4 linked regions of the Stegostoma tigrinum genome follow. The protein of the gene in region 1 interacts with the protein of each later gene in a pairwise test. Links are inferred from orthologs where the notes say so. Each region holds a gene or a part of one and is shown in the gene's direction. Other genes may lie near its edges. The genes, in order: lnx1, necab2, rab GDP dissociation inhibitor alpha and cutc.

Region 1 (7,461 bases):
TATGACATAAGAATGCTCATGTCCAGAATAGTCTTGCCTTGTTTGTTCAATCAAATGGATTTCCAGCTTTGGTGCTAATGCAGTGTGAAATGGAATGAATGAATTTGTACCATGTCTATGTAAATCCACTTTTATTATGATTCTGAAAAAGGTTTTAAACTCTGTTTAAACTGCTTTGCAAATAGTTCCAATGAAAATTGCTCCATTAAAATGTTGCCTATTAGGGGTTTCTGTGATTTTGGTCATTCTATTAAGAGTTTCAAAGTTAAAATTATGATTTTCTGGACAGTTCCCTGACACACCGTCAAGTAATGTCTACAAATCACTGAAAATAGTTTCCATAGATAAAAATATCCACCTTTTTTTGAGCAACTGTAAGTTTGAAGATCCAACATTATGCTTTAAATGGAGGAACTAATTACAGATTGCATAAAAACTTGATTACATTCAACCAATCAAATTATCTTTATTTTACTAGCTTCAATAAGTTTCTCAATCAACATCAAAGTCTCTCCCAAAAGTCTGAGCTTGATGGTCCACAGATTTTTTTTTGTTAATTTTTAGATATATAACAAATGATGCATTCGGAGCATGTATACCTTCATTTGGGGTTCACAGTTGTTTTGTGGCAATGTCCCCACCTCTTAGTCAAGAGAGCTGGCTTCAAGTTTCAACCTGCTCCAGAGGTTTGTAATAATATCACTGAACAGATTAATTAGAAAATATTGATCCCCATTTGGAATGACAGGCTGACCTAAGATCCAGCCTCAACAACATTAATTGAGAGAGCAGCCAATACCTGAGAAGCTTGCCATTTTAAAAAGGCTAATTTTAAGCCTCTTCCCTAGATTATGACACTTTAAGTTCTGCTATTTAGATTATCCCTTCATTTCTGAAATTCCCTTTATGTTCACTAGTCCTACCATGAGCCACAACTTCTCCTAATACTTAGGTGTTAATCATGACTGGGAGGGTTAAACTCTTCATTCTAAAAAGGTAATTGTGGATATGCACTTCTCACAAACGTAGGCATGAATGAATTCTTTTGGAAAGTTTAGGTTTTCCATTGAAGACATTCTCAGTAGATAATTTGCTTCTACTTACACACTGCGAATTATATTACTATGCATGGTGCAGTGGCACAATCTACGAAGCTATTCAGGGCTAAGCCAATATTATAATAGAGAATGGAGTATCATTGCTGTCAATTCCCTGACTATCCTCAGTTAATCTTTAAAAGTCAATTATCTTCTTTTACAGAAGGCTTCTAGACACCACAGGAGTCATTTTTGCTGCTATTTCTGTCCAGTTACTTATTTTTACTTTTTTTTATCTCTGCTCACAATCTACTATCCCAAATTGCTGATCACAAACAAACGCTGCTGTTCCACATACTTTCTAAAGAAATCAGTAACTATTAGCCTTATGTTTATATTGGAACTATAGTCCGATCAGTTGGCCCGAAACCTAAAATTCTAACGGGATACTTGAAAGAAAGATGTTCTATTGGTGAGGGAGTCCAGAACCAGGGGTAACAGACTAAGGATATGGGTTCAACCATTCAGGACTAAAATGTAAATAAATTTCTTCACCCAGAGAGGGATGAGCCTGTGGAAATTGCTGGCACAGAAAGCAGTTGAGGGCAGTACATTGTCTGATATCCAGGAAGAGTTACAATCATAGAATCCCTACAGTGCAGAAAGAGGCCATCCAGCCCATTGAGTCTGCACCCACCTTCTGAACACCGTCTCCCACCCCTGTAACCCATGAGTTTCCCATGGATAATCCATCTAGCCTGCACATTCCTGGACACTGTAAGGCAATTTTAGCATGCCCAATCCACCCAACTTACACATCTTTGGATTCTGGGAGGAAACCCACGCAGACACAGGGAGAATGTGCAAACTCCACACAGACAGTCACCTAAGTCTGGAATTAAACCCGAGTCCCTGGTGATGTGAGGCAGCAGTACTGTGTCATTTGGAGCTAAACGGATCAAAGGATATGGTGCGAAAGCAAGATGGGTGGTCAGCCATTACCATAATGACGGGTAGAGCAGGGTCAAAGGGCCAAATGGCCTACTCCTGCTTCTATTTTCTATGTTATGGCAAATGTGTTAATGCACAGACCACGATCAGTAGTCCCAAATCTCGAACTATATCTAATAAAACTCACAAACTACGAATTATGGAAAATAATTCCTATTTGGGATATAAATTAGGGATCACCACCCTTAATTGTGGCTATTAATAACAGCATAGACAAGATAAAGAAATAGAAACATGAAAAGATTGGTGCAAACAGGCTGAGTGGTCTTTTTCTGCATGGTAACACTTTTGTGGTTGAAGCGCATGGAGGCTACAGAAGGAACTCCTGGGGGAAATACTAGAGAACCAAGTTCGTAACACCTGAAGAGTGTATATCTGAAAGCTAGCTATCTGAAGGGTTATACCTAAAGAGTTTGTTCTTGAGTAGCGTGTTCGTGGCAGGCAACCATATCTGAAACTGTGCGTATCGGAGGAGTGTATATCTCGGAGTGCAAATACCTGACGTCTTCAAGAGCTGCAGAAATTCACCAAGAATCTTTAGACAATACCTTCCAAACCTATGGCCATGCCCACCCAGAAGGTCAATTGCAGCAGATAATCAGAACAGCACCATCTTCAAGTTTCTCTCCAAGCCACCATCCTAACTTGGAAATATTATCATCGTTCCATCAATGTTCCTGAATGATCCTGGAACTCCCTCCCCAATGATTCTGTGAGTCTATCTACACTTAATGGACCGCAGCTTCAAGAAGGCAGCACACCAGCACCTTCTCTGGGCAGGTAGGGGTGGGCAATAAATGCTGACTAACCACTGACACCTAGATCCCGTAATGATTATTTTAAAGTGTGGGCTGGATGAACGCAGCAGGCCAAGCAGCATCTTAGGAGCACAAAAGCTGATGTTTTGGGCCTAGACCCTTCATCAGAAAAGATTAGATTCCCGACAGTGTGGAAACAGGGCCTTCAGCCCAACAAGTCCACACGGCCTCTTGGAGCATCCCAACCAGACCCATCCCCCTATGACCCCCATGTTGTGGGCAATGCGGGAGACATGGTCGAGGGTGTTCTTGATCAGTGCGGGGGCGGAAGTTGCGGTCCTTGAAGAACGAGGACATCTGGGATGTGCGGGAGTGGAATGCCTCATCGTGAGAGCAGATGCAGTGGAGGCAAAGGAATTGGGAATAGGGGATGGAATTTTTGCAGGAAGGTTGGTGGGAGGAGATGTATTCTAGGCAGCTGTGGGAGTTGGTGGGCTTGAAATGGATATTGGTTTTTAGATGGTTGCCTAAGATGGAGACAGAGAGATCCAGGAAGGAGAGGGATATGTTGGAGATGGTCCAGGTGAATTTGAGGTTGGGGTGGAAGGTGTTGGTGAAGTGGATGAACTGTTCAAGCTCCTCTTGGGAGCACGAGGCGGCGCCAATACAGTCATCAATGTAACGGAGGAAGAGGTGGGGGCCACAACGATGCCACACGAAGGTTGCAGGAACAGCAACTCATATTCCGCTTGGGAACGCTGCAGCCCAATAGGATCAATGTGGATTTCACATGCTTCAAAATCTTCCCTCCCGCCAATGCATCCCAAAACCAGCCCAGCTCATCCCCGCCTTCCTAGCCTGTCCTTCCTCTTACCTATCCCCTCCTCAAGCCACACCTCCATTTCCTACCAAGAAAACAAAGTGTGGAGCTGGATGAGCACAGCAGGCTAAGCAGCATCTTAGGAGCACAAAAGCTGACAGAAAATCTGATGAAGGGTCGAGGCCCGAAACGTCAGCTTTTGTGCTCCTAAAATGCTGCTTAGCCTGCTGTGTTCATCCAGCTACACACATTGTTATCTCAGATCCTCCAGCATTTGCAGTTCCAATTATGTCCATTTCCTACCTACTAGCCTCATCCAGCCCCCTTGAACTGTCTGTCCTCCCTGTACTGACCTATCTCCTCCCTACCTCCACACCTACACTCACCTTCACTGGCTCCATCCCCGCCTCTTTGATCTGTCTGTCTCCTCTCCACCTATCTTCTCCTCTCTCCATCTTCTATCCGCCTCACCCTTTCCTTATTTATTTCAGAACCCTCTCCCCATCCCCCTCTCTGATGAAGGGTCTCAGCCCTACACGTCAGCTTTTGTGCTCCTAAAATGCTGCTTGGCCTGCTGTGTTCATCCAGCCCCACACTTTGTTATCTTGGTTTCTCCAGCATCTGCAGTTCCCATTATCTATGATTATTTTAAAACCCGTGATCTGTGTATCTGGGCTGTATATGCTCAATGAATGTGTACCGTGGACCGTGGGTACCTGTGAGGTGTAAGTCTGAGGGGTGTATGCCTGGAGAGTGTGTAATTGGCAGTGAAGAGTCGAGGGGCGGGGACTGTGTGGGGTGGATACCTGAGCTGTGTTCTGTATTATGGCTGTAGGCAAGTTACCGCATTTCAGTTTTACTTTATTTATCAAGCAATTGCTTACTTTCTGATGCTTTTCTCTCTCTTTTTGGTGAAAAGTGAGTAAGTAGTTAATTGTATGTGACGGAAATATTCGCTGGTGTGAAATCATTCCACGATAGTTTGTAAAGGTGAACTGGATAAAATAGTGAACACTGCTTTCTCTTTCAAGTTTTATATCCGCTCTCTGTTGGATGTGATCACCTTTGTCTCATTATTCCGCGCTCGGAATTATCGGAGCTACTTGTGTCCAACTTGATAGGCCGTGGCAGTTCCCAACAGAGCCGGTAATGTTCACGTGTGTTTACTGTAAACTTCACCAGAGCTCGTGGAAAGTATATTTTCTTTTGGTACCGGGTTACTGAGCTGACAAATCTGCAGTTTAAGCCGCTTTTTAAAAACAAAAGTAAACATTTAGATCAAAGTAAATTTTAAGAGGCTCAGTGGATGAGCTGTGAATTTGAATATTTCTCTCCAGTTATCAAAGTGGCTAGTTTTTTTTAAAAGACCGATTTCTGTTGTGTTTACAATAATGTAACCCCTTTTAGTACGTTCTATTTGATTTTTTTTACTGAATTTTATCATTTGTGTTGGTCCAATTTATTCATGCAAACTAACTTGTACCTTTATCCAGGTGAGTTGGTGTAGACAATGGATTGTGCACAATTCAAGCAGCTTTTGAGGTAGTAAATATTTTACGATTTCAGTGGAATGGAGGGCTGTTGGTTCGATTTATTCACAGGTTGGAAATCTCTTTCTGCATCAAAATGGTTGAATGTTTTAAGAAGCTTTGCAGTCGAGAATATTGGCATCTGTAGGATGAAAAACTGCTCTGTTGAAATCCTACTATGCACGGTGGAAAGATCAGTAGTTTCTGCACTTTGCATAGTTTCCTGTCAGTGTGCCAAAATAGATATGAAGCTTATCAAGAGGTGATTTTTTTTAATTGCAGCGTCAGGAATATGTTGCATTAGTTGGAGTGCAAAGGGTGGAATATATTGTACTGTAAGTGGTATATTCTAGATAATACAGTTGGTAAGGATCAACTTCTGTTTTTTGGTACTACACGATCAAAGCTCAGTAACACAATTTTAACCTCAGAACCTGTTTAATGTCCCTCCCTAATGGCATTATGGGTCTACCTGCACCAAATGGACATGGGCAGTCCAGCAAGGTAGCTGTTCACCACATTCTCAACACTTTGAGCCTGCTCTGCTGTTCAATAAGATCATGGCTGATCTGCTTTTAACCTCAACTCGAGATTCCTGCATATCCCCGCTAGTCCTTCACTCCCTTCATAATCAAGAATCTATCTACTTCTGATATTAAAGTATTTCAATTTTCTGCATCCACTGCCTTTCTGAGAAGGGAATTACAAAGATACTCAACCCTCTGAGAGAAAAACATTTCATCATCTCATTCCCGATAACTTGCAGTACCTTCATACTAACCTTTTGTGATACATGCACTAAGACACCCAAGTTTTTCTGCATCACCAAGCTGTGCCACATCTCAGGTAATAGGCTTCTCTTTTTCCTTCTGCCAAAATGGACAATTTCACATTTTCCCACAATATGCTCTATCTGCCAGATACTTGCCCCTCACTTAACTTATCTATAATTCTTATGTTCATTCCTCTCAAAAAACGATAGATTTCTATTAGGATTCTTAATTACTTGCTGTATCTGCATACTAAATTCATGCACTACAAAAAATAAATCCCTCTGCACCTTGGAATTTTGCAGTCATTCTTTGTTCAAGTACCAGTCTGCTTTAATTTATTCCTTCTGCTAAAATGAATGACATTTTTTTCCCACACACTCCACCTGCCAGATGTTTGTCCATTTCTTTAACCTATTTAAATCCCTTTTGTAGGCTACTTAGGTCCTCTTCGCAACTAACACAAAGGTACAGACCGATTTATAGAACAGTTAGATGTTGAGAACTTGGACAGCAAGGAGAGAGGGCAACAGTTTCATCACTTATTTGGAAGTTGCAGTTGGATGGCTTGTGTCTGATTTTGCCTAACTATAAACAAAGAATGCCATTTAAAGTCACAATTGATTTCCATGATTTACAAGCAGCCAGTTAATAAATTTCTAATAACCAGACTTTGAATTTGATAAATTTCCTGATGTGCATGACTGATTAAACTCACTTTTTTTGCTCGTGCATTATGTTATTTGTTAGTTATAGGAAGGAAGTGTGGTCGGATTTGAACTTGTTACCTCTCTGCTGTATAAATAGTAATTACATAATTAAGACTCAAGTGAGTTCATTGTTGTAGCCTATGGAATGTTAACAGTTGCTTTCTCATCTGCAAATGTGGGAAAGAAAATGAGGTGGGAGAGCAGTAGTGATAGGGGTCTGATTAGTTTGGAGACAGACATGTTTTTAAATATGACTGTAGGATGGTATGTTTCCTAGAGATAATGGGAACTGCAGATGCTGGAGAATCCGACATAACAAGGTGTAGAGCTGGATGAACACAGCAGGCCAAGCAGCATCAGAGGAGCACAAAAGCTGATGTTTCGGGCCTAGACCCTTTCCTGTCTGGTGTGAGGTCAAGGATGTCTCAGAGCAACTCAGGATATGATTCAGGGAGTTTGGGTGGGGGTGGTGTTTCATGATGGGTTCAATGTGTTGGGTAGGAGGGGGAATCCTGCAGTCAGTATTTAGGGAACTTGGTCGGAGTTTAGCAAGCAGGGCCTCAAAAGAAGAAGTAATCCCTGGATTACTCCCAGAGCCACACAAAAATGAGAATGGAAATAGAAGAATAAAGCAGATTAATGCATGGCTGGAAATATGATCTAGGAGGGTGGATTGCAGAAATTTTAAGGAAAGAAATGGAGTCTGAATCAGAGTTATACTGCATGTATGTGAATGCACAGAGTAAAGCCAATAAAATAGGGAGATGATTGCAGAGTGGTAAAGTCGTTGAAATGATGACTAGAATCCAGGGTAATGGTATAGTGA
Region 2 (7,311 bases), on another chromosome or scaffold:
GCTCCAGGAGAAGGTACTGAGGGACAGCATATATGCACATTTGGAAGAAAATGTGTGTGTTAGATACGGGCAGCATGCTTTTGTACAGGGAAGGTCATGTCTTACCAATCTAATTGAATTTTTTGAAGACAAAGATAATGAATGAGGGAAGGGCTGTTGATGTAGTTTATGTGGACTTTTGTAAGGCATTTGATAAAGTCCCCCATGGCAGATTGGTACAAAAAACTAAAATTGCATGGGATTCAGAGTGGGCTGGTCAAATGGATACAAGACTGGCTTGGTCATAGAAGACAGAGGGTAGTGGTGGAAGGGTGTTTTTCAAAATGGAGCCAGGTAACTAATGGTGCTCCACAGAGATCATTATTGGGTCCTTTATTGTTTGTAGTGTATATAGATGATCTGGATGAAAATGTGGGTGGTCTGATTAGTAAGTTTGTAGACGACACAAAGGTTGGTGGAGTTGCTGATAGTGCCAACGATTGTGAAAAGGTACAACAGGATATAGTTAAATTAATGACTTGGACACAGAAAAGATAGATGGAGTCTAATCCAGACAAATCTGAGGAGATTCATTTTGGAGGGTCAAATTTAGGTGCGAATTATACTGTAAATGGCAGAACCCCTAGGAACATTAAAATACAGACAGATCTGGGCCTGCAGTTCCCTAAAAGAGGCAACACAGGTAGCCAAGGTGATTAAGAAGGCATATGGCATGCTTGCCTTCAATGGCTTGGTGTGGAGCACAAGAGTTCGTGAAGCATGTTGTAACCATTTACAATCCTGGTTAGGCTGCATTTGCAGTATTGTGTGCAGTTTTGATTGCCAAATTACCAGTAGCATGTGGAAGCTTTGGAGAAAGTACAGAGAGGGTTCACCAGGATATTGCCTGGTCTCAAGGGCATTGGTGATGAGGATAGGTTAAAAAGACTAGGTTTGTTTTCACTGGAAAGACAGCAGCTGAGAGGAGACCTGATAGAGGTCTACACAATACTGCATAGTGCATAGTCAGAGGCTTTTTCCCAGGGTTGAAGTTTCAGTAACGAGGGGGTACAGGTTCAAGGTGAGAAGAGGAAAGTTCAGGGGAGATGTGTGAGGAATGTTTTTCACACAGAGAGTGGTAGGAGCCTGGAATGCAGTGCCAGAGGAGGTTGTGCAAGGAGATAGGTTGGTGACATTTTACAGGCACCTGGATAATTACATGAATAGGGAGGGAATAGAAGGATACGACTGAATAAGGGCAGAAGGTTTGTTTTTCAGTTTAGTCGGGGCATGATGATCAGCACAGGCTTGGACGGCCGAAGGGCCTGTTCCTGTGCTGTGCCTCTCTTTTGTTCTCGTTTGTTTGTTCTCTTATAAAAGTAGGGAGGTTTTGCTAAAACTATGCAAGGCACTGGCCAAGCCACAGCTGCAATAATGTTGAGCATTTTGGGCCCCTTACCTAAGAAAGCTATCAAGGCATTGTAGGAAGCACAGTGAAGGTTCACTGGGCTGACACCAGCTACAAAGGGACCGTCCTATGAGAAGAAATTGAGCAGATTGGGCCTGTACTTATTGGAATATAGAATTTTGACCTTACTGAAACTTACATGAGGGGCATGACAGGGTGGTGAATCTGTGGGATTGTGGTGATGTGGGGAGTGCTATGGACATTATTGGTGATTAATGAAGTGGATGCTGGGGTTAATATTGGCTGATTTCAGTTATGTGAATGGGGAGGTACATGTCCTGGGCAGTGACAAACTGGAGAATAGGATTAACCTGCAGTCATCTGTGGCTGCCCATATTTAATTGCACTCTCTGTGATGCCACTGAATAGCAGGTAATATGGAGAACAGGAGGCTGATCCAATATCACGCCCCCTCCCCCTCACCCCCGATTCTGTCACTGCCGGTGATAAATTTGTATCGTACTCTCATAGCATCAGAGTTAGTGATCAATTGTCCTGTTTCCTGCTGTTTCGCTTCCTGCTCTGTACCAATCTTATTGCAGCATTACCTACGGTACAGCTAAGCTCCTCTGAGGACTGACTGCTGAATGAGATACACTCACAGGAAGATCCATGCTCCATCCTCAGTCTGCATTCACAGACTCGGCCAGGAAAATAATTAATCCCTGTGGCTTGGAAAGATTAAATTCTGCCAGGGTCCCAGTGGGCTGGCCAACCTCTCAGGATCTCAGCGTTTAGAAATACACACACACAAACACACACACGGGAATGCACACATGCACACACATGCATGCATTCGAATAGGCAAACACACAAATACTTGCATACAGACACATGCATCCACAAATACACACCCACTTGCACATTCATATGGAAAACATAAAAAGCCTCAGATATGCAAGCACGCTCAGACATACTGATACATACATGGATTCAAATATACCGATATACACATACGTACATATCTATAGAAACACACAGGTACACATAAATATGCACAAAGACACACGCACACATACATATCTGCAGAAACACACAGGTACGCATAAACATGTACCAAGACACACACACTCTCACATATGGACTCACATACACATACATACAGACACAGACAAGCACAACCTCAGGCACAGATACACATACAAATACAAACAGACAAATCAGACACACTAGGGAAACACAATTGCACTCATAGTCACACATACAAACACGCGGACACATGCACAGACTCACAAAGGTCAAAGACATACTCGCAGATACATGCAGAAACACAATGAAATGCATGCAAACACACATGCAGATACACACACACATGTACAGAGACAGATATACATAGACACAGATACACTTACGTCCAAAGATATACTTATACAAATCCAGATGTATAGACACAGATATACTCACATACACACATCAACAGACAGACACACCCACACACATACACACAGACACAAACATAGGCCTACTCATACACACTTTCAGCTAGATACATACAAACAGATGCAGATAAAGGAAAAGTCACCATAGTCTTACCAGACCATAGGGCTGCTCTCTCATGAGACAGAGATGGCTGGTGGTGGTTTAATCTGAGGATCATCATACCTCAGGTGACAGGAGAATTTGAGAAGGTGAGACTTTCAAGGTAACCTCAGCCAGTATGGGAATTGAATCCACACTGCTGGCATCACATGCACACAGTGACACACAGGCACATGGTCACACACCCTGACACAGTCACACACACATGCATGTCATGTACAGTGCCATGAACATGGGCACACACCCAGCCTCGTCACACACACAGTTACACAGGCAGAGTCACATTGACACAGTCATGCACCCACACAGACTCTGTTACATTCAGTCATGTCCATGCAGCACTACACACAGCGGTCAAACACACGGTAACACAGTCACACCCATACTCACGTGGGTGCATGCGTCTATTCAATGTATACACATGGATGTGGATATAGATACACTGATGGACACAGACAGACTCACGTACAAACACATAGACTGGCACACACAGACAGACACATGTAAAGGCATATAGACACAGACATACACACAGAGATACAGAGACACAGATACAACACAAGCATAGATGGATACACAATGATGCACACAGACACACAAGCACACATTGGCATGCATGCACAGGCACATGCACAGACACATGCACAAATGGGTACACAGGCACATGCAAACATACATTTGGAGACACAAATACACACAGGCACAGACAGATACTGACGCAAATTCACAACACAGATGTTACATCTGTAACACTCTGGACACAATGTATACACATTCACACCCGCGCACACACATCGTCAGAAACACACAAACACAAAATTGCGAGCTTAAAGACATTGACAAAGTTTACCCACAGTTTTTTCTTTGTATACATACAGTGGTATCAACCTGGGGGCTATTTCTGAGGAGGCTCCCTGGCTGGATTTGCCCTGTGTACAGCTGACGGGGCAGCAGTTGGAGGAGGACAGTGTCTGTGAGTGTTGAGCACGGCCTGATCTTTCCTCTCCTCCCGCCCCTCTGCATCTCCCCCCTCTCTGCCGGCCTGTTCCTCTTTCTCTACACGTCCTACAGTTTGCCTCCAGCTCTCGGTGCTGCTGAGTGCGTGAGCGGTGACGGGGAGGGGGATAGACTGTGTGTGTGTGTGTGTGTGTGTGTGTGTTGAGGGTGGGGGGCGGGGGGAGTGCTGCTGGAGCCGGCCTGAAGCTGCTGGGAACCCGGGGGGGGGGCGGAGGTGTTGGGGGGCTGGGTGGTAGGTGCGTGGGGAGGGGATAGGGCGGGGGGGGGGGTTGCAGGGAGGGGTGTGAGGGGAAGGGGATGGTCTGCAGGATGTGAGGAAGATGTGTGATCAGGCAGCTCGCTACTGCAGGGACAGCGTCCAGCAGCAACTCCGTGACACGCAGCCGCCTGTGCACCGCGGTATCAGGGGGCTGGACGGCGTCCTGCGCTGGGTCCTCACCAAAATGAGCGACAAGAAGTTCGGGGACAGGGAATCTCAGAAAACTGAAGGGGCACCTTCCAGGCAGCAGGTGGCCGCGGACACCAAGAAAGGCATCTCAGTTATCCTGGACGTAAGTAGTTTTCTGTCTCTTCCTTTCCCCGCCTGGAGTCAGAGACCAACTTTCATATTTTAGTGGTTACCCATCCTCAATTGACCAAGGGACTGATTCAGATCCGCCCTGCGGAATCCTTCCCCGGCAGGTGGGACTGTCTATGGATAGAGTCAATAGGAACGGACTGGGCTCGAGTCGGAAGGAGCTGCCCGAGGATGAAAGCTGAGAGGGGCATGCGGTGGAGCGAGACAGAATATCCGAGAAAGTGATGGGGAGAGAGATGGAGAACTCCAGCAGAGGGACATGCAGAGACAGAGAGAATGAGTTAGAGACAAGGATACAGAGAGGCAGAGAGAGAAAGAGGGGCATGCAGGGAGAGGGGCGAGGGACAGAGACGGAGAGAAGGCGATGGAGAGAGAGAAACGGTAAGGGACAAGAGAGGGAAAGCAAAAGAAAATAAGTGAGACAGACACACACGGAATGGCTACGGAGGGATTGAGAGAGAGTGAAGCTGACAGGGAGAGAGCAAAAGCGGAATAGAGCGACCTACAGAGAGGCGAGAGAAACGGAGAGCAAAACAGTAAGTGAGAAACAGAGAGTGAAACACAATGAGTGATAATGAGAGCAACTTACAGAGACGGAGAGAGAAACTGCAGAAAGCGGGGGGGGGGGGGCGAGGGAAGAAGGAGACAAAGGGAAATAGATGGATAAAGACAGAAGAGAGCAGAAAAACAGAGGGAGAATTAGAAGGAAGGAAAGTGAGACAGAAAGAGAGGCAATCTGTTGGCAGGGAGTGAATTTAATATGAAAGTTAGATGGATGTATGAATAGAAACATTAAATTCCGAAGAGTGTGTGTCTGTTCGATAGTTTTGGCTATGTCTCTATTGCCTGGCTTGTAATGTAACAGTAAATACTGCAGGCAAGTTGGGGGCATTCAGAGTGAATGATTTCGGTTTGAAATTCTGCTGAGTGAACGAAGAAATTGATCTTTTAAAATTCTGTTTTCTCCACGTCTCTAGATATTCAGAAGAGCTGATAAAAATGGTAAGTGCAGAATCATTTTGGTGCATGTTTAATTTATATTAGTCTCATTTTCAGAGGTATTTTTAGGAATGATGCAGAGGGTGAAAGGGTTAAATTGCAAGGACAGTGTGTAAACTTAGCTCATATCCCCTTGGTGGGACTGACTGCAAGTGCATCTGGTTGTGGTGATTAAAATATACATTAAGATTCGGTTGGGATAATATGAAGAGGCGTTATCCTCTTAAATGTTTACCGTTATCTCAAGCAGCTTGGAATCAAATTGTGTTTCCAATAGAACAGAGCCTTGGTTGGACCACATCTGCAGTACTGTGTTTACTTCTGAACAGTGCAACTCAGGAGGTATATAGAGTGTTGGCAAAGATTCACATGGATTTGATTGGGGCTTCAAGGGTTAAAGGCAGTCAGAGATTCTCAGGTGAATCCAACCAGAGGCAGAGTGGGTCAATAGACATCAGCTACAGATCAGACTGAATCTCAACACAGATCCTGTTCAGGAGTTTGCCTTTCAGCCATTGTCTCTTCACCAACTATCTGAATGAATATCTCACCTAGTGTCATTCTTTCTGTAACCTTGCACTTTGCTCCTTTTCCAATTAACCATTTGATTTCCCCTTGTAAAGCCTTGTTTGAACCAGCCTCTACCATCCTCTCAGGCATTCCATCGCAGATCTGAAGCACTTGCTGCACAGACGAGATTATCCTCGAACCACTTTAGCTTCTCTCACAAATTCTCTGAAACCTGTGGCCTTCATGTCCTCAATCCTTTCAAGAGGAGGAACAGGTTTTCCTTTTACTGTTTGGGTGCCCCATGATTTTGAACATCATCCAGATCTCCTCCCAGCCTTCTCCTCTCTGAGGAGAACTGTCCGAGCTTCTCTAATCAGTCTTCATACGTGAAATTCCTCATCCCAGCAACCATTCTGATAAATTCCTTGTTTAACCTCTCCAATGCCTTCACATTGCCCTGAAAGTGCACTGTCCAGAACAGAACTGAAGCTGAGCTGATAGACTGAATGGCTTTTCTGGCCCTTTAATGATGAATAAGGGCTTCTCCTGAAAGAGATTGAGAGTTTTACACACAACTGTTAGAAGACCTAAGATGATACTGTGAACAGTCTAAATATTAGAATTGAACCTGAGCTTGAATGAAAACAAATTTATGCTCAAAAGGGTTGATTAATTCTGATTTCTGCTCTGAGAAGCCAAACGCAGGGGCAGCGGGTCCCACACACACACGGACTCTCACTGAGGTATGGGATCCCACACACAAACTGACGCTCACTGGGGCAGTGGGTCCCACACATGCACTGACTCTCACTGGGTAACGGGGTCACACACACACACACACACACACACACACACACACACACACACACACACACACACTCACACACACACTCACACACAGACTCTCACTGGGGCGGTGGGTCCCACATACACACTGACTCTCACTGGGTAATAGGATCCCACAGACACTGACTCTCACTGAGTAACGGGGTCCCACACACACACTGACTCTCACTGGGGCAGTGGGTCCCACATACACACTGACTCTCACTGGGGCAGTGGGTCCCACATACACACACTGACTCTCACTGGGTAACAGGATCCCACAGACACTGACTCTCACTGGGGTACGGGGTCCCACACACACTGTGGTACAGTCCCACACGCATTAACTCTCACTGTGGTACAGTCCCACACACTCTGGAAGTATTGTGTCAGGCAG
Region 3 (6,920 bases), on another chromosome or scaffold:
AAAGGATAGAATGATAAGAAGGCTAAGATATTGTTCTTTGAGGTAATGGCAGTTAATTGTAAGCAAGTCAAAGCAGAAGAGGCAGTAATCACACAACGGAAGAAAATATATGTTAAGAGAATAGAGCAAGAAAACAAAAGAAATTGAAGATGGCTGGATCAAGGGCATATACTGATGGTAAACGACTTTGCTTGGATCTTGGCAAGGTGAAAGTTGTTGCAAAGGTGTAAATACAGTACAATGATTCATCAGATTTTTGATGAACTGTTTAGCAAAATTCTTGCCTGATTTGTCATCAGAGTGCAAACATCTGTGCAAACTCACTGCCCAGGATTTGCATTGGTATTCATTCACAGAAAAGAAGCAGCTTAACTCAAATCAAAAGACTAGTAACAACAGTTCAAAATGCTTTGGAAGTCATAGTTGAAAGAACAATATAGAGGTTTATAAAATAATGAGGGGTAGATAGAGTTAATGCTCATTGTCTTTTCCATAGTGGAGGGTTTTCAAGACTTGGCACCACATTTTTAAGGTGAGAGGCGAGAGATTTAAAAAAAGACGAGGGTTAAGTTTTTTACGCAGAGGGTTGTTTGCATGTGGAATAAATCTCCTGATGAAGTGTAGGTACAATTACAATGTTTAAAAGATATTTGGAAAAATATATGAATAGATATGGGCCAGGAGCAGGCAGGTGAGACGAGTTCAGTTTGGGATTATATTCGGCATGGATTGGTCTGTGACATGTAACTGTTTGAAAAGAACATCACCCTAGGAATGAACAGATACCAGACAAACTGGCAGTTACTCAACTAAATCTTATCAAAAGACCTGAAAACCTCAGAGAAAACAAGTCAATGCATGCACATACAGACTGATGAAAGTGGGATAGACTAGAATTTTCAGTTTTGTTCATGAGTGATCATTTTGGGTGACCCATAGCTGCTGAAAATAGTGCGTACAATTTTCTTTCTCTGTCTAAAAGGGGATGTTTGCATCTGCGCATTGTACCTACTAGCTGATCTTCCTTTGGTCATGTGACCTCAACATCTACTGTAATTTGCTTTCATTCGGGTGTGGCAGCCATTAAACACATAATTTGAAACAAGGGTTATGCAGATCAGGCCAGAGAAGAGGAGTTCCGGCCAGAATCAGATCAGCAATTATCTTATTAAATAGTGGCAGAGCAGGCTTAGGGAGCTGAATGGACTTCCTGCTCTGATTTCCTACAAGCTTGTCTTACTATTGCAGCATGAAGAGAAATGACGTTGGTCCCAGCCATTCCTAAATCTGAGCTTTTTTAAATTTAGCCCATTATGAAACAACTTCGTCATCATTTATTTTTAATTTGGGATAACAGTAAATAGAATCATGGAATGTCATTTTATTGTTTGGATTTTATTGTAGATCAAATACTTAATTCCTGACTTTATCTTAGGGCCTCTGCGTAAATCAAATTCAAGTTTTCATGTTTGACATACTTAAGAATTTTGGCCTGTGAGTTGTAGGTGAATTCAGTGTGTCCAAGATTCAGGTATGAAACATACAAGCTAACCACGTCGAGTTACAATTATGCAATGCCTTAAATGTAATCAAATGTCCCAAGGCAAATCACAGGCAAGTTAAACAACCAAATTTAATGCCAAGCCATGTAAAGCAACATTGTGGCAGAAGGCCAATAATTTCATCGAAGAAGGTTCAAGGAATGTCGCAAAGAAATTTATGAAATTTTTTTTAAAAATTCACAGAAGGTGGCATCTCTGACTAGGTCTGTTTTTATTGCTCTTCCCTCATTATCCAGTGTCAACTCTATTGTTGTGGGTCTGGAATCACATGTAGGCCAAACCGGGAAAGGATAGCAGGTTTTCTTCCCTAAAGGACGTATAGTAATCTTAGTATCAGAGATAATGGGAACTGCAGATGCTGGAGAATTCCAAGATAATAGAATGTGAGGCTGGATGAACACAGCAGGCCAAGCAGCATCTCAGGAGCACAAAAGCTGACGTTTCGGGCCTAGACCGGTCGTGAGACAGGTTAGTTTTACCCTACTGATGATGTGTTGTTGCAATAGTAATCCTGCTCAGTACGAGAGGAACCGCAGGTTCAGACATTTGGTGTATGTGCTTGGCTGAGGAGCCAATGGTGCGAAGCTACCATCTGTGGGATTATGACTGAACGCCTCTAAGTCAGAATCCCGCCTAAACGTAAGGATACCCTAGCGCCGCGGATCTCTGGTTGGCCTGGGATAACCGACTCCGGTCGGTGCGTAGTGCCGTTCGATTCTGGGCAGGAGCGCGGCCGTATGGGCGCCACCTCTCTCCTCTAGACGCACCGCATGTTCGTGGGGAACCTGGTGCTAAATCATTCGCAGACGACCTGATTCTGGCTCAGGGTTTTGTAAGTAGCAGAGCAGCTCCCTCGCTGCGATCTATTGAAAGTCATCCCTCGAGCCAAACTTTTGTCGGTACCGTGCAAACCATCCGTTACGACCACGCGAGGGTCCCCCTACCCGCAACCGTCCGTGACCTCGCTTCGACGTTCCGAACCGCACCTCCAGCCTGACAGCGCTGCGAAGGGTCTAGGCCCGAAACGTCAGCTTTTGTGCTCCTGAGATGCTGCTTGGCCTGCTGTGTTCATCCAGCCTCACATTCTATTATCTTATTATAGTAATCTTGCTGAGTTTTAAGGTAATCGACTGCAGTTAGATTATTTTTTAACTCCACATTTTTTTCTGAATTCAAAGTTTATCATATGTTGTAATGGAATTTGAATCAGATCATTATTGTGCATTCTAAATTATTAGTCCACGGACATTACCACCACTACTATTCCTACTCCTCCTTCCACTATCAAAATTTTAGTGGTTTAGTCAGCTGAAAATATAACCACCAGTGGAGGAAGTGTTAACATCTGGGATGCTCAAGAAGCAATTTCAAAAGATTGTGAAACTGCAGGGAATTACAGTGATATGGAGTGGTCAGGCCATTGAAAATGTGGCTAAGAACAATAATATCTTTGATGAGGGTAATAATTTAAATGGGAGTGAACCCTATTTGCCTGCAAACTGCACTTGTTCCCTTAAATTTCTACCACCTAAACTGAACAGCAATTTACTGAGAAATTCTAGAGTCTCTAGAACTGCAAATAATTGCTCCTGATAAAGAAGGTCCTTTGATGGAGACCTGAAAGATTGTCTCTGTTTCTCTCTCCACACCTGCTGGGATATCCAATTTTTTTTTAAGATCAGTTCCTTGCTTCAATTTAAAGACGATCCTTATAATGTTATTTTCTTCTTTTTTCCTCCTCCTTAATACAGTTGGAATTATCTTTCAATTACCATGTCTCCTGAGCATCCTGGCAGTTGCACTGGGCCTTGTATTACGCTTGCATGCAGACGAATGCTGTCAATGACATTTTGAAATGGAGGACTGTGTTCTGAAGAAGGATCACTGGACGAAACGTTATTCTACTTTCTCTCTCCACAGATGCTGCCGGACTTGCACAGTTTTTTCAGTAATTTCTCAGTAATTTCTGTTTTTGTTTGTAGAGAATAGGGAATTGTGCCCTACTTTGGAACTACGTCTCCCATGCTTCATTGCGGTGCATATTATCCAGCACACAGACTCTGACCCCCCCGCTGTGGACTACAATCCCCAGAAGTCCCACGGGTTGTACGCCTGCGCAGTGCCCCGTTGTATCCTGGCCGTCGACGGTGGCACTACTTTTTCTTCGGACTATGTCGAAAGAGGGGGAAGGGAATTCCAGAATACCTCGATGTTTCGTTGCTTTTCACCCTCGGAGAACTTTGCTTATCCTTCAAATCAATGTCCCGAGGCATTCTTGTCGATCCCGAGACGAAAAGGCGGTGAACTCTTCGGAAAAAAAATAAGGCGCACTATTGGCTGATGGCGGATGGACACCGTCTGAAGTGCGGGTAGTGTCACGGCATATGGTGATCCGCTCCATCCAGTCAGCTTCAGCCCAGCCCAGCCCTTCCACAATAAACCTCAGGTTTTTAACCAAAAATTAACGGTGGTACAGTGAATAACAAGTAAAAAAATGGATGAAGAATATGATGTGATTGTCCTAGGGACTGGATTGAAGGTGAGCCTTTATTCTATTATTTAACTAACAGCCTTTCTCTCCCCACCCCCGACTGTGTGATATTAATATTTGATGAATAGGTGGAGGAAATGGAATTATAGTGGCCTGTTGACTGGATTGCTGCTGTCATGTAGATTGTCCAACTTGGATATTGTAAAGAGAATTATTCACTAATATAACGTTTCTTAAGCCTTTCTCAGATGCAGCATGCACTGTGGGTGTTGGTTTGCTACATAAATCTCAGAATGGTAAAGTTTAAAGTTATTATTGAGGCGGGGAAAACTCGTCTCAAATCTTGCCTAATTTGACGTGTGTTTCGAGCATTCCCTTGATTTTTGAGAATTTTTTTTTTAATTTTTGAAAATTATTTTTTGAAATTTTGAGAGTACCTTTAGAGTAATCCAGAGGCTTAGGGACAGGAGCTGAAGACTACATTGGTGGCTTTTTGAATTTTGATTCGAATTAAAACATATTACTTGTAATGGTGGTTGGAAAACACTGCTTTTTGTTTAAAAAAAATCAAAGCCACGTTATTCATAAATGCCCTGCATGTGATTCCAGAGCCACAAGAATTTGGGATGGGCAGCAAATGCTGGCCTTTTATTACCCACACTTTGTGAAAGAATTACAAGGCTATGAAATGGGGGAAAAAATCAATAGAAATAATACCGAAGTTAACCAAATCTTTGAGAAAAGGAAGCCCCTTGTTTTTCTTCAATCAAAAATTAATGCCTAAATTGTTTACTCTATTCTTCCATTAGTGATGTAGAGAGATTTTTATCCATGTATATATTCCCTACATCAATGTTTTTGTTCATTACAAGTCACAGACTATTACTTTTAAGCTCCTGTTAAAATGTCTCATTGTTATTAACATCGAGTGGCAGGAATCAATCAGAATTGTAGAATGCCTGCAGTGTGGAAACGGGCCATTTGGCCAATCTAGTGCACACTGAACCTTCAAAGAGCATCCTGACCAGATCCAATAACCCCTCCCAATCATCCCTGTATTTCCTATGGCTTGACCATGGAGCCAGCACAATCCTGGACACCATGGGCAATTTAGCATGGCCAATCCTGCCCATCTTTTGGACTGTGGGAGGAAACTGGAGCACCTGGAGGAAACCCGCGCAGGCACGAGAAGAATGTGCAAATTCTACAGACGGTCGCCTGAAGGTGGAATTGAACACTGAGGCAGTATTGTGAACCACTGAGCCACCGTGCTGCCCTGTGCTTTAAGGAACTGGCTTTAAAGTTAAAAAGCAGTCAATAAATGATTGCAGACCAGCCAATGAAATACTGTGAAAAATGTTATTGTTTTCCAGTTAGTAAATCCATTAATTATGTTTCATCTTTTAAGATGATGGCTGGTCTATCCATTACTCTCTACCTTCAATGGTCACTGTTGTCCTGTTTCCCCAGTGGTGTAGTTTCAGTAGTTTATATTTTCCCAAGGCCTGGCTTATCCCTATCTTTTAAAGTAAACTCTGGTGTTGCAAGTCTTCACCTCCTCACTGACCCTGAGGTTTTATTGTATCCCTGACTTTCTTTGAGCCTATCATTGAGAATCTCTCCTTCATATTTCTTGAATTATTTCGTTCTCACCCACACCTCCCTGGTTTCATTTGAACCCCTTAAAACCTATTTCTTTCAAGCAAGCTTTTGATTTTTTTTCCCATTTATTCTTTTGATTTGTCCCTTTTTTCCCCCTCCCTCATCGGTGAAACGCTTACAACACCATTTTGCCAGCCAAGAGCCAAATTCATGGAAATTTCTTCGTTTCCTGTGGCAGAGAGAAAAGTAAAACGAGAACCTGTTTTGTGGGATAACAAGGTGTAGAGCTGGATGAATACAGCAGGCCAAGCAGCATCAGAGGAGCAGGAAAGCTGATGTTTCGGGTCTAGACCCTTCAGAAAATTCTAGGCACGAAACGTCAGCCTTCCTGCTCCTCTGCTGCTTGGCCTGCTGTGTTCATCCAGCTCTACATCGTGTTATCTCAGATTCTCCAGCATCTGCAGTTCCTGCTACCTGTTTTGTGGGTGCTGCCTTGTTTTCCTTGTGTGAGTAGAAATGTATATAAATATCAGTACAAGTGTTTGGTTTATTTATTAATATCTGAACTTGTGCTTTTAAAGGAACCTTTCCTGCAAATTTGTAATACATTTTATGAAAAAAATGCTTTTATGATAAAAAGTTTACTCTTCATCATTCTTGCTTATTGACTGAATTCTTGGTCAAATGCTGCATGAAATCTTAGGCCTGCCATTTAAAATGGAGTCTTTGTTTGTAGAGTCTGTTTGTTTGCCTGCAGGAGGAACATGTGACTGCTTTAAACTGATTCTGTCTCATCTTTTATGTTCAATTCATGATGTATGCATCTATGATTTGGAACATAGATTCTGTAGCTCTGTATTTGTATTTGAGTGGGAAAGAAAGACTGTGTGCCTTTTGACTTGTTAGAGAACTTAGCTGTCTGAATTTTAGGATATTCTGTGATATTGCTGGTCTTTTAAATATTCATGATAGGAGGGCTGTATTTACAGAAGATCTTTGTCTTTCAACACTTCTCCCAGCTGGCCTAACCTACTTTGGAATCATACCTTATGTTTCCCCATCACACCAATTTTCTCTCCCATGGGCAGTGGTTTTAAAATGGAGTGTGGTTCTGTAAGAGTTGAGTGCTGATGACCAAAACGGTCATTTGCGAGCCTTTCATCTGTAGTCGGCCTTAGTCTACAAATAGTAGGAATGCCAGTAACCAGTTCTCCTTCCTAATTACTCCATCTGAGTGGATTTTGTCTACTGCATCATAGGATGCA
Region 4 (7,233 bases), on another chromosome or scaffold:
AATTCTGCAAATCAGTTACGTACATACTGTGATTACAAAAGCAGATAAGAGACTGGAAAGATAGCAATGGCCAACACTTACTGATTCTCCAAACCTTACCCACCATCCACAAAGGCACAACTCAAGGGTGTGATGGAATGCTCTCCCCATTTGCCTGTGCAGCTCCAGTATCACTGAAGAAGCATGACACTACCCAGGATAAAACAGCCTACTTGACTGATACCCCATCCACTACAGTTAACATTCACTCTCTCCACTATTGAAGTACAGCAGGAACAATGCACCATCTACAAGATATGCTGCAGCAACTCACTCCTTCGACAGCATCTTCCCAAATTACTGAAAAGACAAGGGGTGTATGGGAATATCATCATCTGGAAACTCTTCAAGTCTACACTGACCATCCAACCTAGAAATTCCCTAGTTGTTCCATCGCTGCCACTGAGTCAATATATTGGGAACTGCCTCCCTAAAAGCACAACCACAACTGTTCAAGGTGATAGCAAACTACCATTTTTTTCTAGACCACTTATGGATAAACAATAAATGTCAATGGCACCGAAATCTACAGAATGAACTTAAGGGAATATTCTCGCTTCACCTGCTTTAAAATATAAAAACATTATCCCTAACTGCAATTTATTTAAAAGCTATAACTTTGAAGGAACAGAAACAGTGGTTTTGCTGGAGGAACATTACCTGGTTCGGAGGCAGGAGCAGGGACAGACCAGTCCACAGGCTGGCACAGTAGAGTAACAGTGCAGATCCAAGATGAGCAGCCAGGCGATACTGGCTGACCCGGGGAATGTCATGTGAATCCTTCTTCTCCTCCAAACCACTTTTCACCATGTACCAACCGAGTAAACCCTGAGGAACAACAACAAGGTAAGGTGCTAAAACCCTGGACAGATCAGAACTGCCAAAGTGAAAATATCTTTCTTAGGATTAGAATGGTAATGCACAAAAGATCATGCAGAAAACAAGAGGGAAATTGCCCAAATATTCAATAAATTCCTCATCTAGACTGCTTTGTCCAATCTGATTTTTCCAATATACATGTAGGACCCCCTATGATAATCGCCATACCCTTTTGACAAGTTCCAACTATTTCTTGGAGAAACTTAGCAAATCCAGCAGGATCTACGGACAGAGTTAATAAGTCCGGTATAACTCTTCTTCAATTCTGAAGTTGGCGGGAGCTAAAAAAAGAAACAGAATTAACATTTCAGGCCGACGATCTGTCGGAGTTCAAACCAAAGGTGACTGACCTGAAACATCAACTCTCCTTCTCTCTCCCCACAGATCCTGCCCTACCACCAATTATTTCCACCATTCTGTTTTAATCTGTGTCATTTTCAGATTTACTAGGCTCCCCTTTTCAAATCTCACGATATGGTAGGTGGTCACCGGCATTTCACCTACCTGAAAGCACACGAATCCACAAAGGCCTGCCACCCGCAGCTTCAAGCTCCTGGAGAACCAGCCCTTCCTCCAAAAGTAAATGGCAGGCAGTATATAGGCCAGTCCCACTGCACGGCCCCACATCCGGTGAGAATATTCCATGTACCAGATGAACTTGAACTCGTTTAAAGTCATGTCATGATTTAATCTGAAGGAAAGAACACCGGAGCAGTTGATGCAGAGGAGTCACAGATCGGGTCTTACCACTGCTAGAGTAAAAGTAGCTACTAATTCAACAAGAACGTCAAACCAACCACCCCACCTTACTATCCTCAACTGTTATAAATAAACAAAAGGGAAGAGTCAAGGAACTAGATGTGAAATCAGATCTTTTGTCTCAATCGAAGTCTGAGCAGATGAAAATGTCACAGCAACACGAAATGCCCAAAAGCTACTTGTATAACTACGGTTGGAAGCTTAAAATAAACACTTTCTTTTTAAAATAAGAAATAAGGCTTTCATTTCTGTAGTGCCATTCTCATCCTTAGGGTCGCTCAATGCATTCGGCAGCCAATGAGGTTCTTTTGAAGCGCAGTCACAGTTGCAAAGCAGGAAACTCGGGAGCCAATTTATAGTCAACTTTGACCATCAGAAATGTGATAATAAATTCTGAAAGAACCGCAGATGCTGTAAATCAGATACAAAAACAGAAGTTGCTGGAAAACTTCAGCAGGTCTGGCAGCATCTGTGAAGAGAAATCAGACGTAACATTTCACATACAGCGACCTTCCTCAGAAATGTGATACCATTTCTTAGTGTTGGTTGAGGCGTAAATGATGACCTGGATACCAGGTACGACTGATATTATTTGAAATAGTGTGATAAGATCTTTTAAACCTTGAGCTTAGTTTTGAATCTCATCTGAAGGACTGCACCTCCCCAGTACTGCACTGGGGGCATTAACCTGGATTATGTCACAGTGCTCAAATCTCGAGAAATGAGACGGGATCCAGAAGCAACTGGGCCAGGGACAAGATATCAAAAGAGAGCAGGCGCAAGGCTCTAATTAAAGCCTGATTGATCTAGCAGCATTGCAGACAAACGTGATGAGGGTCAGAGATGTTGCCACCTGTTACTTACATTTTAAATTCTGGGAACTGCTGGTACTTTTGAAACTCAGCTTCCCACTCCCCTTGAGTCTTTGGGGGTTTCATCTCCTTGATGAGGTGCCAGTCCACCATCGATAAGCCAGACTCGGTCAGCCTGTGGAAAATTAAGGAAAGCCCTTAAAGTACTCTCTCTGTGCTCAACAAATATTCATCATTTCATCCTCCTTGGACTGCACCAGCGTGTGCTTTAATAAAAATAGATTTGGAAAAGAGTCAAAATCATTCTGTCATGCGATGATTTTCAACACCTCTCCTCCTATTATTCCCATCAAATCCAGCAGTACTACATCTGGTATAGTACTGCAAGAAAGCACAACATCTCTACTTCCTCAAGACGTCAAGGATGGCTTGGGGTGGCAAGATGGTTCCGCGGTTAGCATTATTGCCTCGCAGCTCCAGGGACCCAGGTTTGATTCCAACCTCGGGTGACTGTCTGTGCAGAGTTTGCATTTTCTCTTTGTGTCTGTGTGGGTTTCCTCCCACAGTCCAAAGATGTGCAAGTTAGGTCGATTGGCCATGCTAAGCTGCCCATAATGCTCAGGGTAAGTGGACTGGCCATGACAAGTGCAGGGTTACAGGGACAGAATAGCGGGCTGGCATCTGAGCGGGATACTCTTTGGAGGGTTGGTGTAGAATCAATGGGCCAAATGGCCGTTTCCACCCTGTGGGGATCCTACAAGGACTGCAGTGGTTCCAGGAGGTAGCAAAATCAATTAATACAAACATCAAATATTGGCCTAGCCAGAAATATGAACAGGCCATCAATAAAGAACCATGACTTCGTCGTGGAAGCGGTTGCTTTTACTGACAGAAGACTTTCACTTACCTGGTTACTCCGCCAAGGACCACAGCGCCCACAACCATTCCACTGCAAACAATCATCCATTTGCCCAAGATTCGGTCTGTGATGACACTGGGTATACGGTCTGTCCTGGACTGCGCTGATACTTTTGTAACAACAGAACTCATTCCCTTTCTCACTCCCCATTGTTTCCAAGTGTGACTTAGCTGAAAAGAAGAATTAATAAAACAGCATGGCTGACTCCCTTTTACAGAACCAGATGAAGATTATTAGTCATAAAATCTTACAGCATGCCTATGCATGACCTTTAAATGAGCTATCGAGTTATAGCCCAACCCATTGTTTTGGCAAAGTCCTGCAAATTTTCCCCAAGTATCTGTCACTCTTTTGAAAGCCAGTCTTAAAATTCCTTCCTACACCTTTACAGGTGCCATATTCCAAGTCACAACTTCACTATTTCAAATGCTGAAGAAACACAGCAGTCTGACAGCATCTCTGGAGGGAGAAACAGAGTTAACGCTTTGAATGCAACATCTTCCACTCTGCCACAATTCCAAAGGAGTCATATTAGACTTGAAAAGTTAGCACTGTTTCTTTCTCCACAGAAGTGGGTATGTCAGAAATTCTCCAGCAAGTTGTTCTTATTTTAAATTTACAGCATTCACAGTACTTTATGTTTATTACATAATTCTTTCACTGCTCTGTGAATCATCTTAAATCTGGGAGCTCTGGTCACTAATCAACCTACCAATGAAAACAGCTTCTCCTGATCCACTGTAGTTTTATCATAGCTATTATGATTTCAAACACCATTTTAATATATGTAATCCTATTGTATTTGTCAGCCTGAAAGTACTGTAAGTGAGTAGAACCACAGGCTGGGAGGTTTCAGACGGGAAATGCACAGCTATCTTTTGCAATCCTATCCAATATTAGGAACCAGAGATTATTTAAGGTTACGTAACCATGTACCCGGAATCTAAAGCACCGGATTTCCAGGCAATGTGTCGTAGTTGCATCTCGTGAGGCACCTCTACCACAAGTGAGACTTGAACCTTACATCCCAGAGGCAAGGTCGGTGTTACTGTGAGACAAAAGACCTTACAATCTGCCTTTTATACATTACCTCAACTCTTATCCTTTGCTGTCCTTCAACCCCTTCCCCCTCCACTCTAACCCAGCTCTTAGCGCCTTGCATTCCGACCCGACTTATCGTTACAGCCTTTCGTGGAATCTTGCTGTGCAGAAAAGGGGTCGCCGTGGTTTCCTCCTCCAACAACAATCGCGCATGGAAAGTACTTCGTCTGGGCTACGGGGGTGGAAATAGCCGGACGAAGGGCGCTATAGAAATACACCTTCCTTACGCCCTCCTGCCGCCAGTGGGGTTTACAATAACAGCCTGTCTTTCTCCTCACCGAGTTAGCTCGGCCTCCATCCCGGGCCCGAGCCCAGGCCCAGGCCCAGGCCCGGGCCCGGGTCCGGATCGCCCGGAGGCCGAAGCGGCCGCACAATCCCGTCACCAGCATCTCCAACCCGGGGGTCAGGGGTCATCCAGCGGTAACCAATCAGAAAGCCGCACCCTGCCCGCCTGGGAGCGGGGTGAGGGGCCAGAGATCAAAACTAAATCCGATCAACGCGCGCACACAAAACAAATTAAAATAACCGCACTGCGCTCTCCGAGGGCGATAAATAACATGGAGACAGAGATTAAAAATAAAATCTGCGCCGTCGCGTTTTCACTTGAGGCGGCGGGGAAAACAGGGGTCGTAGTCACGTGACTTGGGCCTGCCTCAGGCTGCGGCTGAAGTGAGTATCGATTAAACTGCGATTTAATTCTGATTCGTGCAACAGCGTCTTGTAAACTGACTGGGGTCGTTGAATTTTGAGAAATCATTAATGTTACTTTATTCTCATAGCGTGTGTGTGTGTGTGTGTGTTTATTGCTGGCACGGGTGGCGTTTGCCAATGGTTACCATGGTGATGCCGCCCTCCCCTTCGCCTAGAATCTTCTCAGCTGTGAGCCTGGAGTCACCTGTAGCTTCAGCACTGAGCAAGGACGGTAGCCCTGTATCCAGCAACCAGCTGGCTACCCCGTGGCTTCTTGGCCACGTTTCCCGAGACCAGGACAATGCGGAATGATGTGTGTTGCCTGCCCCTGAGTTGTGATTTGGAAGGTGATGAGCAAGCCGCCTTGTTGAGCTGCTGCTGCCCATTTGCCAGTGGTGCACCCACAGTACCACCAGGGAGGTAGTTCTAGGGGTTTGACCCAGTCGCAGCGAAAAGGAACGGCGATACGTTTCCAAATCAAGATTGTAGGTGGCTTGGAGAAGAACTTGTGGGTGGTGTTATTCCCGCATACCTGTTGCCTTTGTCCCTTCCTAAACGAGTTTAAGTGGTGCTGTGGAAAGAGCTTTTGGTGGTTTACTGCAGCACATCTTACAGATGGTACAATTCGCTGCTGATGCTGAGCGTCAGTTGTGGATGGAATGAATTTGGTTTTTATGATGTGCTTAATTGTAGGTTGTTTTAAAAACCTTAAGAACTGCGGATGCTGTAAATCACACCCCCTGTTGTTAGTGACTAAAAGTCCCCATTAACTACTATTCACCCTCCCACCCTGATCATTAGCAAATCCTTTGTCTGTCCAACTGTCTTTCTCTCTCTTTGGGCTCTAAGCTATCGTTTACTCCCTACCCCACCCACCTCCCTATTTTCTGCATATAAACTGACGTTTTCCCAGCCACCATCAGTTCTGAGGAGGGGCCACTGGACCTGAAACATTAACTCTATTTTTTCCTCCACAGATGCTGCCAGACCTGCTGAGTTTTTCCAACAACTTTGTTTTTGTAGGTTGTTGTATCTTGGACGGTGGTGAGCTTCATCAAATGTTGTTAGAACTGTGCTTTTCTGGGCAAATGGAGAACATTGCATCATATCCCCAACTTGTGAGTGGTAGAAGTCAAGAAATGAGTTGCTCACTTTGATCTGCATTTGTATTCCTTATATGTCTGACTGCTCCAGTTAGGTTTCTGGTCGGTGGTGAAGCCTTTGATGTTGCTGGTGGGATATCTGTGGTGGTAATGCCAGTTGCGGGAGATATGGTTAGATTCCCCCTTGTCAGAAATACTACTGTCTAGCACATATAAATTGCTAATCAGACTAAGTTTGACTATTATCCAAGATTGCTGCACAGACAGGCCTAGTATTTGAGGAGTTGTGAATGGTGCTGATGATTTGTAATCATCAGTGACTGTCCCCACATCTGTTGGGCAAAAGATCTTTGATAAAGCCATTGAAGATGGGTCTAGATCACTCAGGCATTACACTTCTCTAGCAATGTTGCTCCAGCAACGACAACCACCTTCCTTTTTGGTAGGTATGATTGCCACCAGTGGTGAGTTTTCCCAGATTCCCCATTGACTTCAATTTAACCATGAGTCCTTAATGACACATTCAAGTCAAAGGCTGCCTTCATATCTAGAGTGCAAATGTTCAAAATTGCAGCCAGGATGTTCTCAAATCCTATAGCCATTGCTGTATCAAGTCCTTTTAGCCCTTTCTTGCTTATTATGTGGAGTGAATCAAACCAACCACTGACATCTATGATGATGGGAACTTTGGAAGGAAGCAAAATGGGCAAATACTTTAACCTCAGAGATAATGGGAACTGCAGATGCTGGAGATTCCAAGATAATAAAATGTGAGGCTGGATGAACACAGCAGGCCAAGCAGCATCTCAGGAGCACAAAAGCTGACGTTTCGGGCCTAGACCCTTCATCAGAGAGGGGGATGGGGGGAGGGAACTGGAATAAATAGGGAGAGAGGGGGAGGCGGACCGAAGATGGAGAGTAAAGAAGATAG

The links.
Region 2: the proteins of lnx1 (region 1) and necab2 interact in binary tests that used the Homo sapiens proteins (3 or more experiments, as listed by UniProt). The link is inferred for Stegostoma tigrinum from reciprocal best matches to the Homo sapiens genes LNX1 and NECAB2.
Region 3: the proteins of lnx1 (region 1) and rab GDP dissociation inhibitor alpha interact in binary tests that used the Homo sapiens proteins (3 or more experiments, as listed by UniProt). The two-hybrid records come from large-scale screens. The link is inferred for Stegostoma tigrinum from reciprocal best matches to the Homo sapiens genes LNX1 and GDI1.
Region 4: the proteins of lnx1 (region 1) and cutc interact in a two-hybrid assay, tested with the Homo sapiens proteins (3 studies listed by BioGRID and IntAct). The link is inferred for Stegostoma tigrinum from reciprocal best matches to the Homo sapiens genes LNX1 and CUTC.

The regions. Positions count from the first base shown.
Region 1 is NC_081354.1:107,522,790-107,530,250, reverse strand, and holds the start of lnx1 (E3 ubiquitin-protein ligase LNX), read left to right. Parts: upstream 1-4,459; 5' UTR 4,460-4,544; intron 4,545-4,657; exon of another isoform or gene 4,658-4,772; intron 4,773-7,461.
Region 2 is NC_081369.1:3,296,040-3,303,350, reverse strand, and holds the start of necab2 (N-terminal EF-hand calcium-binding protein 2), read left to right. Parts: upstream 1-4,301; 5' UTR 4,302-4,323; coding exon 4,324-4,554; intron 4,555-5,557; coding exon 5,558-5,582; intron 5,583-7,311. UniProt on the Homo sapiens protein: May act as a signaling scaffold protein that senses intracellular calcium.
Region 3 is NC_081364.1:9,594,147-9,601,066, forward strand, and holds the start of rab GDP dissociation inhibitor alpha, read left to right. Parts: upstream 1-3,917; 5' UTR 3,918-4,056; coding exon 4,057-4,101; intron 4,102-6,920. UniProt on the Homo sapiens protein: Regulates the GDP/GTP exchange reaction of most Rab proteins by inhibiting the dissociation of GDP from them, and the subsequent binding of GTP to them. Promotes the dissociation of GDP-bound Rab proteins from the membrane and inhibits their activation.
Region 4 is NC_081373.1:13,164,318-13,171,550, forward strand, and holds the start of cutc (copper homeostasis protein cutC homolog), read left to right. Parts: upstream 1-4,230; 5' UTR 4,231-4,446; intron 4,447-4,498; coding exon of another isoform or gene 4,499-4,570; exon of another isoform or gene 4,571-4,787; coding exon of another isoform or gene 4,788-4,898; exon of another isoform or gene 4,899-4,929; intron 4,930-4,965; exon of another isoform or gene 4,966-5,178; intron 5,179-7,233. Other genes in the region: cytochrome c oxidase assembly protein COX15 homolog, read right to left, coding at 700-867, 1,423-1,609, 2,542-2,664, 3,397-3,578, 4,788-4,898. UniProt on the Homo sapiens protein: May play a role in copper homeostasis. Can bind one Cu(1+) per subunit.